Regions from separate parts of the Mus musculus genome. Here regions 1 and 3 are each reported to be linked to region 2. Evidence: microRNA targets listed by miRTarBase, many of them from high-throughput screens and not tested one by one. Region 2 holds a microRNA gene; each other region holds the end of a gene's coding sequence. Distances are from middle to middle.
What was found. The annotated mature microRNA mmu-miR-466k reads UGUGUGUGUACAUGUACAUGUGA and lies in region 2 at 3,036-3,058, opposite strand. An mRNA with a match to its seed (bases 2 to 7 or 8) in the 3' UTR can be bound and repressed. Matches are read on the target gene's strand: a 7mer-m8 pairs with bases 2 to 8, a 7mer-A1 pairs with bases 2 to 7 and ends in A, and an 8mer does both.

Region 1 (4,635 bases), 18 Mb from region 2:
GCCTTACTGTTTTCTCAGTATGATTTCTCTTTGCTAAGAGGATACTGATTTTATTTGGCACGGCTGTGTACCTAGCTTCCTTTGCAATTAGACATGTCTATTTAATAAGTGAGGCAGATATGGAGAGAACTCCATTAGAATTTCTGGAAACGTTTGCTTTCCCCATGTGTCTGTAGTGTAGGGCAGGCAGTTTTCTATTTTTTCCCTGTCTTCCACATGGGCATGACATCTGACACAGCAGTAGCCTATAACAAGATAACAGCATCACAGACGGAGCCAACGTGGAAAAAGGCACCCTGTGCAGAAATGCACCCTTCCCTCCACACTGAGGACCACTCACAGGCACAGCATTCTAGGGACCATGCAGCAGCGTGAACTAAACAGAAGTCACGGTATTCACAACACACAGGCCATAGTGTCTCTCTTACCCTGTTAATTAACCTGTTGACTGACTTTGCCGATCAAGATCCATGAACTCCACAGTTATGTGCATTTAAAGGTGCCTTAACTTGGTCCTTAAGAAATGTGCTGAAGAGTGCCTGAGTGTGATTCTTGGCTCCACTTTGGACAAATTAGAACCTTCTAGTATGTATGGAACTGTAAAGAACTGAAGCGGGGATGCTGTGTCAGCTGACACAGAAAACCCCTTAGTATAAGGAAGTAACCATTGCAGGACCCCCTGGACTTCGATTCTGCAGCTGTTTTCTATGTTTTCTCCTAGCACCACCCCTCCCCCACCCCCTTCCCTGGTCAACTTTTAGATTCTCAAATAACACAGCCCTTTCTGTGCTGTATCCTACACTTACATCTGATGTAACACACTGCATCAAAATTATCTGCACAACATTTTGTTTAGTTTTTTGAGACAGGGTCTCTTGTAGCCCAGGCTGGTTTTGAATTTACTATGTAGCCAAGAATGACCTTGGATTTCTGCTCTTCCTGCTTCTGCTCCAAATTCTGGGATTACAGGCATGTGCCACCATGCCCAATTTATCTGCTGCTATCGGGCAGGCAGCATAGAGGGGAATAGCGCTGCTATATCCCACCCCTCTGTAATATCCCTTTACCACTCTTCTCATTTTAAAGTCGGTTTGTTTTTAACTCCTAGTGAAATAATTTGCACAGAACATCATACACAATTTATCTGTTTGTGTGTTGTAGGTCAGAAGGTAATTTTTAGAAGTTGGTTCTCTCCTTCCCTCATGTGGGTTCTGAGGAATTGAACTCAGGCCATCTGACTTCATGGTAAGCACTTAGACCTGCTGAGCCATCTCCTAGCCCTAACAGACATGTTCTTAAACCGGTACTGCCGTTTTCTGGAATGATTATTAAGATGTAAATTCCAGATTCCATCCATAAATTTCTATTTCATTAGGTGCATTTTAAGAAACATGGAAATAGACTTCAGTGGTAAATTATACATTCAGGACTTCTGCAATGAATAGGTTGTTAATGTGCTTTTCAAAGGTTTATACTGCTGAATATATTGAATAATTGCAAGCTGCTTATGACATCTATGTCATGAACACTTGCCATGGTTGCTATGTATGTGAATATGTGAAAAAAATCTCCTATACTTCTTTTTGCTTTTTTCAAGACAGGGTCTCCCTGTGTAGTCTCCTGGGACTCACTAGGTAAACCTGCATGTCCTCGAATTCAAGAGATGTGCCTCTGCCTTCCAAGTGCTGGGATTGCAGGTGTACATCGCCACTGCTCAGCTAAACTTCCTTTTTTTTTCCAGCTCAACTTCTTAGACTCATTTCTCAGTAAAATGAGCAAATCTTCTCAAAAAGGTTTTTATTAGTTAATATAATTTCATACTAAAATTTTATACACTAAATACTTCCACCCATTGCAAGAGATATTAGCATCTTCACACAAGTGTGAAACATTCTTTCTCCATTCAATGTGCTAGCTCTGCAATGCCTTCACAGCACTAACACCAGGCAGAATTTATACGACACAGGGCACCGAAAGCTTGCTCTACCCTCAGGACTGCAATGGAGAGATTCCTCTGAAAGCTAGATGCAAAGACCTTTGTAGTGAGTGCTACGGGAACAGAAGGCAGATAAAGAAAGGGACACCATGCTCACTGCTGAAATAGACTGACTGATAATGCTCTCACTGTGATGGGACCTGCTGTGACAGCTGACAAGTGGTAAAGGAACCCACCCCTGAATGGGTTTGTGGAGTACACACTTGGGGCCCTTAGGGGAAACATCAAGGGGAGCAGCTGGAGTGAAAGTTAACATGGGAACAAAAACCAAAGTCCATCTGGGCAAACAGTGCAAAAGGAATTATTTATAAACCTGACATATGAGCAAACCAAGATGAGAAGGAACTGACAGGGAGCTATTAGAATCTCAGGTTGTTCTTGATTGCCTGAATGCATGGCATCAGGAATGTGGTAACTTTCTGTGAGTAATAAAATGCTTCCATGAGAAAACCCAGCAGATGGAAAGACAGCAAAGTACTGATGCCGGTCTAAACCATCCCAGTGGTGCTGCTCTGCACAGCACAGCACAGCACAGCTGTGTGTCCATGAAAGTGCCTAGGAGCTAGGAACCTGTGAGTGAGGTATGTGTGTGTGTGTGTGTGTGTGTGTGTGTGTGTGTGTGTATGTGTATGTCTCATACAAGGCAACTACCTAAGCCGAAGACTCCTTAGGCAGACAGAATGGAAAACTACTTGGTCAAATAAATAAAAGCTATTTTTGGCATTTAAGTCCAATGTACATGTACAGTCATGTACATCTAATAGCTCCCTGTGCATGATGGGGCAGGCCCAAGTTCCTCAGCACTCTCTGAATGACTGTGGATCCTTGAGGAGGAGGAGGAGCAACGCGAACCCGGCTTACTTGTTTTCAAGCGTATTTCCTGGGGACTAATAGATTCTCTCAAATTAAGAGCAAAGACACCTGACCACAAAGTGCCAACTCCTAGCACCGGAGAGGATCAAACCCCATGGATGAGCGACGTCACTCAGAGACTCTGCCAATCTGCTTCTTTGAAGTCATGCTACTTTTACAAGTGGAAGAAAAAAAAAATCTAGGTTTACACCAAATATGTATTTTTAAAAAGTTAAATCTTTGAAAAACTCTTAGAAGGAATTTTTATAATCCTATATAAAATAAAATCCTGGCTTATAATAAAAGTGTTCAGTGTTTCCAAGCTGTGAAAAACAACATTGAACTGCAGGTAACAGTTTATAGAGATTCCGGACTAGAGTGACAAATGTCATCTCTGTCCCAGCAATGGGGGACTTGTCTAGTTTCACTAGTACACCCCAAACTAGTTAGTGGACAATGAATACCAAGTGGCAATTCTAAACTGCCACCCCATACCTCTACCCAACACTAAGTCAAGTCTGCGGCAGGACTCTTGGACACGGCAGGAGAGGAGGGCACGGCTTCTCGCTCTGACGGGCAAGCTGTAGCCAGCCTTCGGAAGTCCAGTTACTTGATGGTCTGAGAGGCAGGAGCCACAGAGCTTTCTTTTCCAACCTGCAGAGATTCACTGCTGATGGACAGTAACTCTCGAAGTTCCTTATTTTCAAGCTGGGGAGAAAAGATATTTCCTGTGTTTTAATTGTTAAACTATGTCAGAACATACTATTTTGGCCCAGAAAGAGGAAAAAAAAATTTTTTTTTGGCTTTTCTTTTTTAAGATTTATTTATTATTATACATAAGTACACTGTAGCTGTCTTCAGATGTGCCAGAAGAGGGCATCAGATCTCATTATGGGTGGTTGTGAGCCACCATGTGGTTGCTGGAATTTGAACTCAGGACCTTCGGAAGAGCGGTCAAGTGCTCCTATCTGCTGAGCCATCTCACCAGCCCTTTTTTTGGTTTTTCGAGACAGGGTTTCTCTGTATAGCCCTGGCTGTCCTGGAACTCACTCTGTAGACCAGGTTGGCCTTGAACTCAGAAATCCACCTGCCTCTGCCTTTCAAGTGCTGGGATTAAAGGTGTGCGTCACCATTGCTCGCTTAAAAAATTGTTTTTTAAAGACAAAGTCCTACTGAGTGGAGTTTGCTGGCCTAGAAATTGATATGCAGATCACACTGACCTTAAACAGATACCTGCCTGACCTTGCCTCCAGATTACTAGAGGTATGCTCTGCCACACCTGGACTTTAAACGATTAAGCCTTTTCATTTTAGATTTATTTCAATATCTTATGTGTATGAATGTTTTACCTCCATGGATGTCTGTGCATCATGTGCATAGCTGGTACCCTGGAAGGTCAGAAGAGGGCACTGTTGGTCTGGGACTAGAGTTACATAGGTCGTGAGTCACCACCATATGGGTGCTAGGAATCAAACCAGATCCTCTGTAAGAGCTACAAGGGCTTTTAACCACTAAGCCATCTCTCTGTCCCTAATTTAATTACTAATTTTGATAATTGACACCTATCACTTTCTTTTTTAGCTAAGGATAGGCTACACTCTATCCTTATCCTTTTTGTAGAAAATTATTGTCTATTTTGAGATAGGGTCTTATGTAGTAGGTGAGGTGAGGCCTGGCTTGGAACTCCTGACCCTTCTGTTTCTAAGTCCTGGAATTACAGGTGTGTGTTGCCATGTCCAGATCTTTACGGACACCAAGATAAACTACAGCATTTCCAGCTTCACCAA
Region 2 (4,635 bases):
TTCATGCTTTTTTTGGAAGCTGTGAAGCCAGCTGCTTCTGACTCCCCATCCCTCTGCCTTATTGCAGCGGACACTAGGCACTCACTGTCTGTGGCCTCTCAGCTTCCATCTGAAAGCAGCGCACACAGTCGTGTCACCAGGGATCTTAATGTTCACATCTGGATCACATGATCGCTTCTACTCTCACGATGTCCACAGAGACCTTCAACATCTGCTTAGCCCCAGAGCAAGACCCAACACTTCCTTCTCTGTTTTCTGTCTAGCTGTGCTTGACCTGGGAGTCCTGCAGAATTCAAATTGAATGTGTTCTCCCTTCTGCTTAGGGCCTGGTGCCTGAACTACGGTTTCATGGGTTTCATGCCATGTTCTTTAGTATTGGCCCACATTCCTTGTCCCATTTACAGTGGTTTCCCCATCACAGCCTGTGGCAGAATGAATTCCTGTCCTCATTTTTGCCATGTGACTCCCCTGCCACAGCCTCACCGTAGTACTGTTGTACTGTCTGCTGCTTGACCTTGACTTAGTCACCACACAGGATGGGCGTGGTCTTGACCCCTATGGAAGATTGGCAGGCGCCTATGCCATTGGGTTTGCTGGCCTCGGGTGCTGCTATTGTAAACTGCTCCTCCTACTCTGCTCTCAGGCCCCGGACCGAGGCTGTGAAGGTCAGCTGCCCTTATCCATGCACTACTGGGCAGTGGAAACAACAGGCTTCTTGGTGGGCACTACTGGATGTTTGTGGTTGCCATGCAGCAACTGATGACTGGTACAGACTCCAAAGCACTCTCGAGGGCCCACCTCGTGGCATTCTCTCTAATGGCTTGTTTTTGGATCCTCTTGCCCTTACTGATTACATGATAGCAGCTGTTCCTGCCTTGGGGCTTCGTATTGGCTGTGTCCTCTACTGTATTTTCTTCTGTGGGTCACTGTCGGTGCTAAATGCAGTGAAATGAACTAGCGAGACAGTGGGCCCTGGCAAGGGCAGAAGGAAACAGTGACATGGGGTGACCTGAGCGGTGGCATTGTGCAGACAACTGGAGGAGGAGAGAGGACAGCTCACACATATCAGTCTGGGTGGAGGGAAAGAGAGCTAGAGGCCAGCTGGATCTGGTGTGCTCTCTCTCTCTCTCTCTCTGTTTCTTCCCGAATCAGTGGCTTTAGATACACCATCGCATTATCTAAAACCTCCCTCCTTCCCTCCTCATCCTGCCTGCTCCCCCATCTTCTTAATTGGGGTCAATCTTTCCAAGTCTCTCAGCTCAAGGGAGGAAGTAGTATCTGCTGTAGCAGATGGTCCTACATTCTGGTGACATCCTAGCTTTCCAGGTATCCCTTGGAAACAATCTTGAGTTTGTAGCCTCCCAACAATATGAAAAGTTAGACTTAGAAAAAAAAATGTTTAAAAGGAAGTAAATAAATATTTTTTCCTCTGCTATTCATATAAATATTCTGAGATACAATAATAATAATAATAATAATAATAATAGCCTGAAAATACCCTGGGTGTGACCAGTTAGTTGAGAGCTGGCAGTGTGTGTGTGCCCTGTCAGCTGCAGGGTGATAGCTAGGATTTAATTGCCCTTCCTAAGATGCAGCTCAGTAGAGTGAGGTGAACTAGAGTCTTTCTATATACATGTCTCTGAGGACAAGACTCACAACAGCTTCCACGTTACCCAGGACCCAGTTGGACCGTGGACACTCAGGCTTCACCACAGACCTCCTGGCCTTATTTCCTGGGGGTTGGTGTGCACAATCAGCTCCAGGAGAGCCAATCAAGTCCTTGTGGATGTCATGTCTCAGTGTCCTCTTTATTAGGATGTCACAGGTAAATTCCTGTGGCTGGTGCCAAGACAAACTGCCTAGAACATTTTATTTGCTGGCTTGCTCTGATTAAAGTGGAGAACGCACTGCACTTTCTCGTTTGTGGTCACCTGCTAAATCTTTACCTTATTTCTGGTGTTGCCTAACACAGCGTCTCATACACAGCAGAAGAGAAAGAGTCACTAAATGAATGAATGAATCTATTTCCTATTTCCTTCGAAATTTGAGCCTCTGCACAGGCTGAGATGTACTGGCGTGCTTTGTGTTGTTGTTGGAGGTGGAATCTGGGGTCTTGTATATGCTGGGCAAGTGTTTCATCATTGAGCTATAACCCAAGAGCTAAAAAACTTGTTCCGGTGGCATTAGGGTAGCAGACAATTTTTGGGGAAATGAAGTTTGTTTCCAGAAGGCCTAGGGCTGTGGAATCCTGGGTATAATGGATGCTTAGAAGAGAAGAGATGACTTCAGGTCTCAAGGACTGAGGACATGTCCCTAGTTTTCAGTGACTGGCTTTTATACCACCAGAAGCTCTGCACACTCTGTACTGACCCTTTTCCTGTGAACTTCCCTGTGTAACATTTGTTCCTCTGTTTTATCAGCTGAATGATGGAACCTCACAGCCAAGAACTTTGAGAGGTCAAAAGGACCTGGCTGCTTCCTGCAGGTGGCAATGGCTTCCTTTCTTCTTCAGCCTTTAGACAGTTTGGATTTCAAATTATTCCATCACTTTCTAGAACATTCCAGATCCAAGCTCTCCTCTCCTATCACAGATGTATTCTGCAGCGCTGGGCCTCTCTACTGCATGTGGTTGTGGGAGAAGAAAGCCGCTGAGGTAGTTGAAGCCATGTTTAGCTTTTAGTTCTGTGAGGCAAGAGGGCCAGGACAGAGCATTTCCCCTTCCCTGTCAAGATATCAGCACCTGCTTGGGAAGCCAGAAGATGGAGGAGTAAAAAAGCTCCTGTTCCTCGGGGGCTTGCAGGTAAGGTCACGGCCAGTGCAGAGGTGCCAGTCTTCTCCTGCCCTATAAGGCTGCTGCTACCTGTGAAAGATCAGTGCAGTTGCTTACCTGTCACCTAGGCCAGATGGAGACACAGCCATCGGAGTCACAATTAGTAACACCTACTCACCATACACACACATGCACATGCACACATATACACATATATTCACATACTCACACACATGCACATGTACAAACATATACACACACATACTCACATGTACATGTACACACACACACACACACACACATATATATGTATATACACACCTGCACACACACACACACACACACACACACACACACACATATCAATAGAGAACATGCATATACACGTACATGCACTCATGCACATGCACACCCATGTGTATATGCACACACATACATACACATATACACATATGCATGCACACACACACATACACTTATTTCTATAGGAGGGTGTACATGAATGTATATCACATGCACACATGTATATGTGTGTGAATATAGGTGAATATACAGCCCCTCCCATCCTGGAAACTAGCACATTCATATAAGACACCATAATACAGCTTTTCAATATTTTCTTTTCTGTAAGAAAGTAGGGAATTGACTGAAGTCCAGGGCTGTTGCAGTTCAGAAGTTCGGCTCTTTATCTAAATGTGGCCCTGAGAGTTAGGCAGCAGATGGAGGTAACATGGCAGCTTCCAGGGCTTGGAGTCAATGACTTCAATGAACAAAAACAGACACTTTCTTTTACTCGCTCCATTGAGAACATGACCACACATTCCTGGCTCACAGGAGACCCCTAAATCTGGAGGCCACTCCACGATGTCTCCTCATCCTTAAAGTAGAAAGTGGGACTGCGGAATCTGTCATGTGCTCCATCTTGGGCCACTGATGGGGTCTGTGTGAGATGAGATCTGATTTGCCTCGGTTATTCTGGGATGCACATTGGCTACTCTGCCCACTTCATCCATTCTGAGCTACTACCAATCTCCATCCTTACAGGCAGCAGCCAATTTGAAACGTACAGTTGTATACTCCCACTTCAGGTTACTTTTGCCAACACATATTACCTTATGTTTATTTGAGTTAAGTTTCGTCTGCCTGCAGGCTGCACAATCCCCCAAAGTGTTCCGATGCACCTGGAATTTCTTGCAAATCTTCTCTGTTTTTATTAGCCACAACAGTTTGGAACTAGTTGAAACCTCTGGGAAGAGATTAGACAACAATTACTGCCCGTTGCTCATGTAATGTCTGGCCAGGTACATGAGCCAGCAGGCCTTGCTTGGCGGGGTGGGGGTGGGTGGGCATGATAGCATTTCTATCCACTGGTCTGTCTTTTGAACTCTCAACTCTGGACAGGTACCAGGGAGCCAGCCTATCCTTGGGGTGTATGTCTACACAGGGGCATAGAGCTGTCTTATTTACAGGTTTTAGAAGCTACTGCTCTGGAGCCAAGGGAATGTGTGTTATCAAGGCCCACTCTGTCTGGTCCCCTTGGATATTACAGAAAGAAGGGACAGAAGAAGAGAGCCGAGGGAGGGGAAGGAAGCTTGCAGCACTGCTCGCTATGCTGGGTTCTGTAAAATCAGGTGATTAGACATGGGAGGAGGAAGGACAGAAGTATCACCCTTCGGACTCCTCTGGAGAGGCTGAGACATCACCATGGTCACATCCTGGAATCTGGGAATGAGGACTGGTTGAGGCTGGAAGCCACTGTCCTCAAGACCAGGTAGGACATCAAGGACCAGTTCCACGAGCCAGGATGGAGGAGGTGAAGCGGGCTGCTGCTTGCGGAAAGCAGCTTCTGTGAGCAAGGCTGGTGT
Region 3 (4,635 bases), not on the chromosome of region 2:
GCCCTGAGCTTGCCATCAGTGCCACTATGAGCCGGATGGGGAAGTCATTTAACTGACCCCCAAGATGATCCCTGAAGGACAGCATTGGGGGACCCACTGGAGATAGGAGTCTGAGACAAAGGCAGTTAGTGACCCTGAATCAGGGCCCATCTTTCACAAGCGCTCAAGGATTGGTTTGTGTATACAGTAGAGGAGGGAGTTAAGGTCACCTGTCTGTCTCTCGCCCCCCCCCTCCCCCACATACTCTACTAACTAAAGGAGTTTGACTTCATTATCCTTGTAGGTTTTCAGGTATGTGGTGTTTGCTTGCGCATGTGCACATGTATACACCACACATGAACACCTTACTCCCTGGATTGTGGCTGCCCCATCACCTCACTGCATTCTCTCTGTCTCCTCGCAGCGGACAAGGAAGCTGATGAGTATTACATGAGAAGGAGGCACCTGCCAGACCTTGCAGCCCGTGGTACCCTCCCCCTCAATGTCATCCAGATGTCTCAACAGAAGCCACTTCCTCGAGAACGGCCACGCAGGCCCATCAGGGCCATGTCCCAGGACAGGGTCTTGTCTCCACGTCGGGGATTGCCAGATGAATTCGGCATGCCCTATGACCGCATCTTGTCTGATGAACAGCTGCTCTCCACAGAGCGCCTGCACTCCCAGGACCCGTTGCTGTCCCCAGAGAGGACAGCCTTCCCGGAGCAGTCGCTGTCGCGGGCCATCTCGCATACGGACGTCTTTGTGTCCACGCCAGTGCTGGACCGCTACCGCATGACCAAGATGCACTCCCATCCCAGTGCCTCCAATAACTCCTATGCCACCCTGGGCCAGAGCCAGACAGCAGCCAAGCGCCACGCCTTTGCCTCTCGCAGACACAACACGGTGGAGCAGTTACACTATATCCCAGGCCATCACACCTGCTACACAGCCAGCAAGACTGAAGTGACCGTGTGACCAACAATGTGGCCAGGGCTGCTTGGCAGAGTCAGGGCAGGACAGAGCAGAGTAGGGCAGGGGCGAGGAGCATCCCGCCTTGCTCTCCTCCCCTCCCTGGATCCCCCCATTAAAGCTGGAGGTGGGCTGCCTTTGTCCAGAAAGCCATACCCCCAGGGAGATGGCACCAAATGCCTGGTCCAACAAGCACGGACCTAGGCTCTTTAAAGCTCTTTCTCTCCCAGTAGACTTCCCCTGTAGATGAGAAGTGTAGTGAGGTTCAAGTCTTTCGAACACCTACACCACTCCCTCAGTCCCTGCCCCGCCCCTTCCTGGGGACTCAGCTGCGGGTTCTGCCAACCAGTGGACCCTCTCCTGAAGGTAATCGGAAGCTGCCTGAGTTTGAACAGCTAGCTGGCTAGAGGGTGCAGTCAGTGGGCTGACCGAATAGGCTACTCGGTCTTCTTCCTTTATCTACAACTGCATCGCAGATAATCTCTTAGTGCCTAAAAACTGCCTGCTCGCTCTCAGCCAGAGAGCTGCTGTGTCCATAAGCACAATATGATTCTCTTCCGCCTGCTGGAACTCTGGTCTCTACCGAGTGGCCCTTCCCTCGCTGAGCCCTGCAGCCCAACAACGGGGAGGGGTCCCTTCCTGCAGCTGCTTGGTTGCCCCTGCCTCTGCTGTGGGGACTCTGTTCTCCCAGCATTCACTGTTTCTCCTCAAAGCTCTCTGGGGTTTAAGCTCTTGCCCCCAAGAGGGGGCATTAGCCCTTGCCCTCCAGAGAGGAGTAGCGACAGGTTGCCAGGACTTTAGAGGTGCCTCGGCAACCGCCTGATTGTCTCCTTACTTCCTCCAGGCCTCAGGTCTGAACTAGGACCTCCTCTCAGGCCTGCCTTCTTCACCTGAGCTCTGCTCCCAGGAGGCACCTGCGGTGGGCAGAGAGCTAGGGTCGGGAGGACCACTGTGATGCCCAGGGTCTCAGGGGCTCACCATTTCCATTTTCTAGGGCTCTGCCTGTCCCCCCATCCATGAGCCTCAGGCAGAAGTTTCCAGACACAGACAGAAGAAGCTTAGCCCTCAAAAAAGCAGGAACCCTCTGAGGTGGTCATGCTAGACCCTTCCCAGTCCTTTCCATCATCTTTGCCCACACCACCACCCCTTTTCTGTTTAGAACCCTTTCTTTCTCCCTCTGTTCTCTCCCAGACCTATCTCCCACCTTGCTGTCTGCAGCTCCATTACTTTTCTCAGTCAGTGGATCCAAGGGACCAAGATCCATTGGCAGATGCAAATAAATAATGGTGTCCCAGGATGTTGCTCTGGGGACTGTTTTGAGCTTTCTTCCTTGCAGGAATGCTTGGGCATATGGCAGAGGCATCTTCAGCTCTGTGAAAGACCCCATTGCCAGCCCAGCTCAGCCCCATCTTTGCCTCCAACCTGAAGGGGGACAAGATGTAACCAGCTACTGATCCAAGATCAGAAGGAAGAAGACAATGAGACAAAACACACACACACACACACACACACACACACACACACACACTTCTGAGGGCCAGAGCACCTCTCTGGGACTGGGGAGAATCAGTCCAGAATGTCTTGTGGAGAGATAAAACCATCACTTACCAGACTCCAGCAGCAATGCCCTTACATCAGATTTTATACCCCTGCCCCCAGTTCTGCATGGATAACCCTTAAAAGTGAGATGGTGAGAAGCTTGCATTCACTCTGGTCATCTTTAATCCAGCCAAGTCTAGAGAGCCACAGAGAAGCCAGAGGACTGCTTTCCCTTCCTACTTTCAAGAGCTGTAGGTTCTCCTGAGCCCCTTCCCAGAATCCCCCCCCTCCATGAGCAGCTATGTTCTGCATAACCCAGAAGGATTGAAACTGGGGTTTCTAAAGGTAGTCCTTAGCCTCCCCACTGAGGGGGTGTCCCTGGCACTATGTGGCCATTCTGCTTTGCTCCCTGCAAATACAAACCTTCTTAAGGGCTGGTCCCCATTGGGTCTATGAGCATTTGTTGCAGAAGGTAAGGCTCACAGGAAGAGAGGAACTCAATCCAAATAGAGAATGGCTCACTTTCAGAAGCAAAGGCGTGTCTGACAGCTGGCCCCCAGCCCAGCACCTTGTAACTCTCCTTAACCCTTAGCCAGTCTCTTTGAAGGCCATGTGCTGGTGCAAAGGGGGAAGGGCAAGACTGTGGTGGGCAAGAATCCCCTCCCATGTGTTTGTACATCCCATGGAAAATCTTTCAGACACCAAGTTTTGCAGCCTTTGGGGAGCAAGACCTTATCCCAGGCTCTTCCCCCAGCCTTGGCTCTCACAATGTGTCTGTCTGTCTAGCTTCTTGTCTGTCTGTCTGTCTGTCTGTCTGTCTGTCTCAGGGGCTGTTTGATAAGTTGTTTTCCAAACTATTTCTCATCCCTGCCTTATCACCATCTGGTATAAAGTACCTGGCATCAGTTACATCAGAAAATTCTAATGTAATGCTTGCTTCTCCTGAAGGCTTTTCTTGTGCTTCATCCTTGGAAGGAAAACAATAACAAATATAACTCTACAAACTATGTTAATCCAGTCCCCCCTCCAAACTCCAGAAAACTGTGTCTTAACTGGGACATGGAAAAAACAGTAACCAACCCCCATCTTCAGTTTTGCATGACTCCATTTCAATTACCTGTAGACAACCATGATCCAGAAATATTTATATTTGTCTTAACTCTTTTGAGAGAGTCCACAATTACATAGCTTTTATTACAGTATATTCTTATAACTTGCCCTACTTTATTATTGTCAATCTCTTTCTGTGCCTAATTTTCAAATTAAACTTTATTGTATGTATACGAAGAAAAACACAATACCTATATAGAGAGTGTGGGACTATGTGTGGTTTCGAGCACCCAATGGGATTGTTGGAGCTTATCCCTCAGTGATAAGGGAAAACCACTAGATCCCCTCAACTCATCTGTCACTCCAGAACCAGCTAGCTCTGTTGCTATATGAAGTCACTTGAGAGTGTCTGGGGCTGGAACCCTGGTCACTGCTTCTAACCCAAGCAGGCTGGTATCCTCTGTCACATAGGAGGGGCACGGACCCCTTGTGATAAACACTCATATCCCAAGGAAACCCAAGACTTCCTTCTGCATGTCTTCACTGCCCTGGACTTAGGTATGTATAGGTCTCACTTACCCCAAGTATTCTTCCTGAAGATCTCTTACCACACCCATCCATCACCACTCCTTTCTTACCCCCTCCAGTGAACTCTTGGCTGCATATATTCATGAGCCACAAAAGCTTGCCAATAATTCCTTAACCTCCTAAGTGGACTTTGACCGTTAGAATTCCCCAGTGTCTTAGGCAATGTGTTTCCCTTGAGAAGGTCCAGTCCTTACCTTACTGAAATCTCTCCCCTTCTTTATATTCTTATTTCTGTCTTAACCTCCTATGCCAGTTTCCTCTTGCCTTCCTCTCATTTCTTTCTTCAATCATCCAGCTTCCTCCAGCCCTGATTCCTTTTACCTGGGCCTGCTTAAATCTCTAGTTTTAAGAATTAGAGTTCTTGGTGTAAACTGTGAAGACTCTGGCATTCTGTGTTCAAGTCCTCTGTTTGCTTCATTGGTTTGTTATACTTCCTCACATGGGAAATGATGTCCCAAGGTGTGAGATCATTGGGCTCCCCACATCCCTATGATCTCTAAAAGGGAAGGG

Region 1: miRTarBase lists Sike1 as a target of mmu-miR-466k. Seed matches in the 3' UTR shown: 7mer-A1 at 2,613-2,619, 8mer at 2,611-2,618, 8mer at 2,609-2,616, 8mer at 2,607-2,614, 8mer at 2,605-2,612, 8mer at 2,603-2,610 and 12 more.
Region 3: miRTarBase lists Shisa6 as a target of mmu-miR-466k. Seed matches in the 3' UTR shown: 7mer-A1 at 2,437-2,443, 8mer at 2,438-2,445, 8mer at 2,440-2,447, 8mer at 2,442-2,449, 8mer at 2,444-2,451, 8mer at 2,446-2,453 and 12 more.

What each region holds. Positions count from the first base shown.
Region 1 is chr3:103,000,629-103,005,263 of GRCm38, reverse strand. It overlaps Sike1 (suppressor of IKBKE 1), which reads right to left. Exons shown (of 5, transcript NM_025679.3): 5 at 1,350-3,556. The coding sequence ends at 3,455. Among named protein-coding and RNA genes, the nearest start is that of Sike1, 7.2 kb to the right of the region's middle.
Region 2 is chr3:85,465,819-85,470,453 of GRCm38, reverse strand. It overlaps Mir466k (microRNA 466k), which reads right to left and starts at 3,077; the gene lies at 2,956-3,077. The region is part of intron 1 of Gm31419 (a long non-coding RNA gene); the gene reads left to right.
Region 3 is chr11:66,213,791-66,218,425 of GRCm38, reverse strand. Shisa6 (shisa family member 6) reads left to right here. Exons shown (of 5, transcript NM_001034874.3): 5 at 404-4,635. The coding sequence ends at 954. The region is part of intron 1 of Gm12296 (predicted gene 12296); the gene reads right to left. Among named protein-coding and RNA genes, the nearest start is that of Dnah9, 48 kb to the right of the region's middle.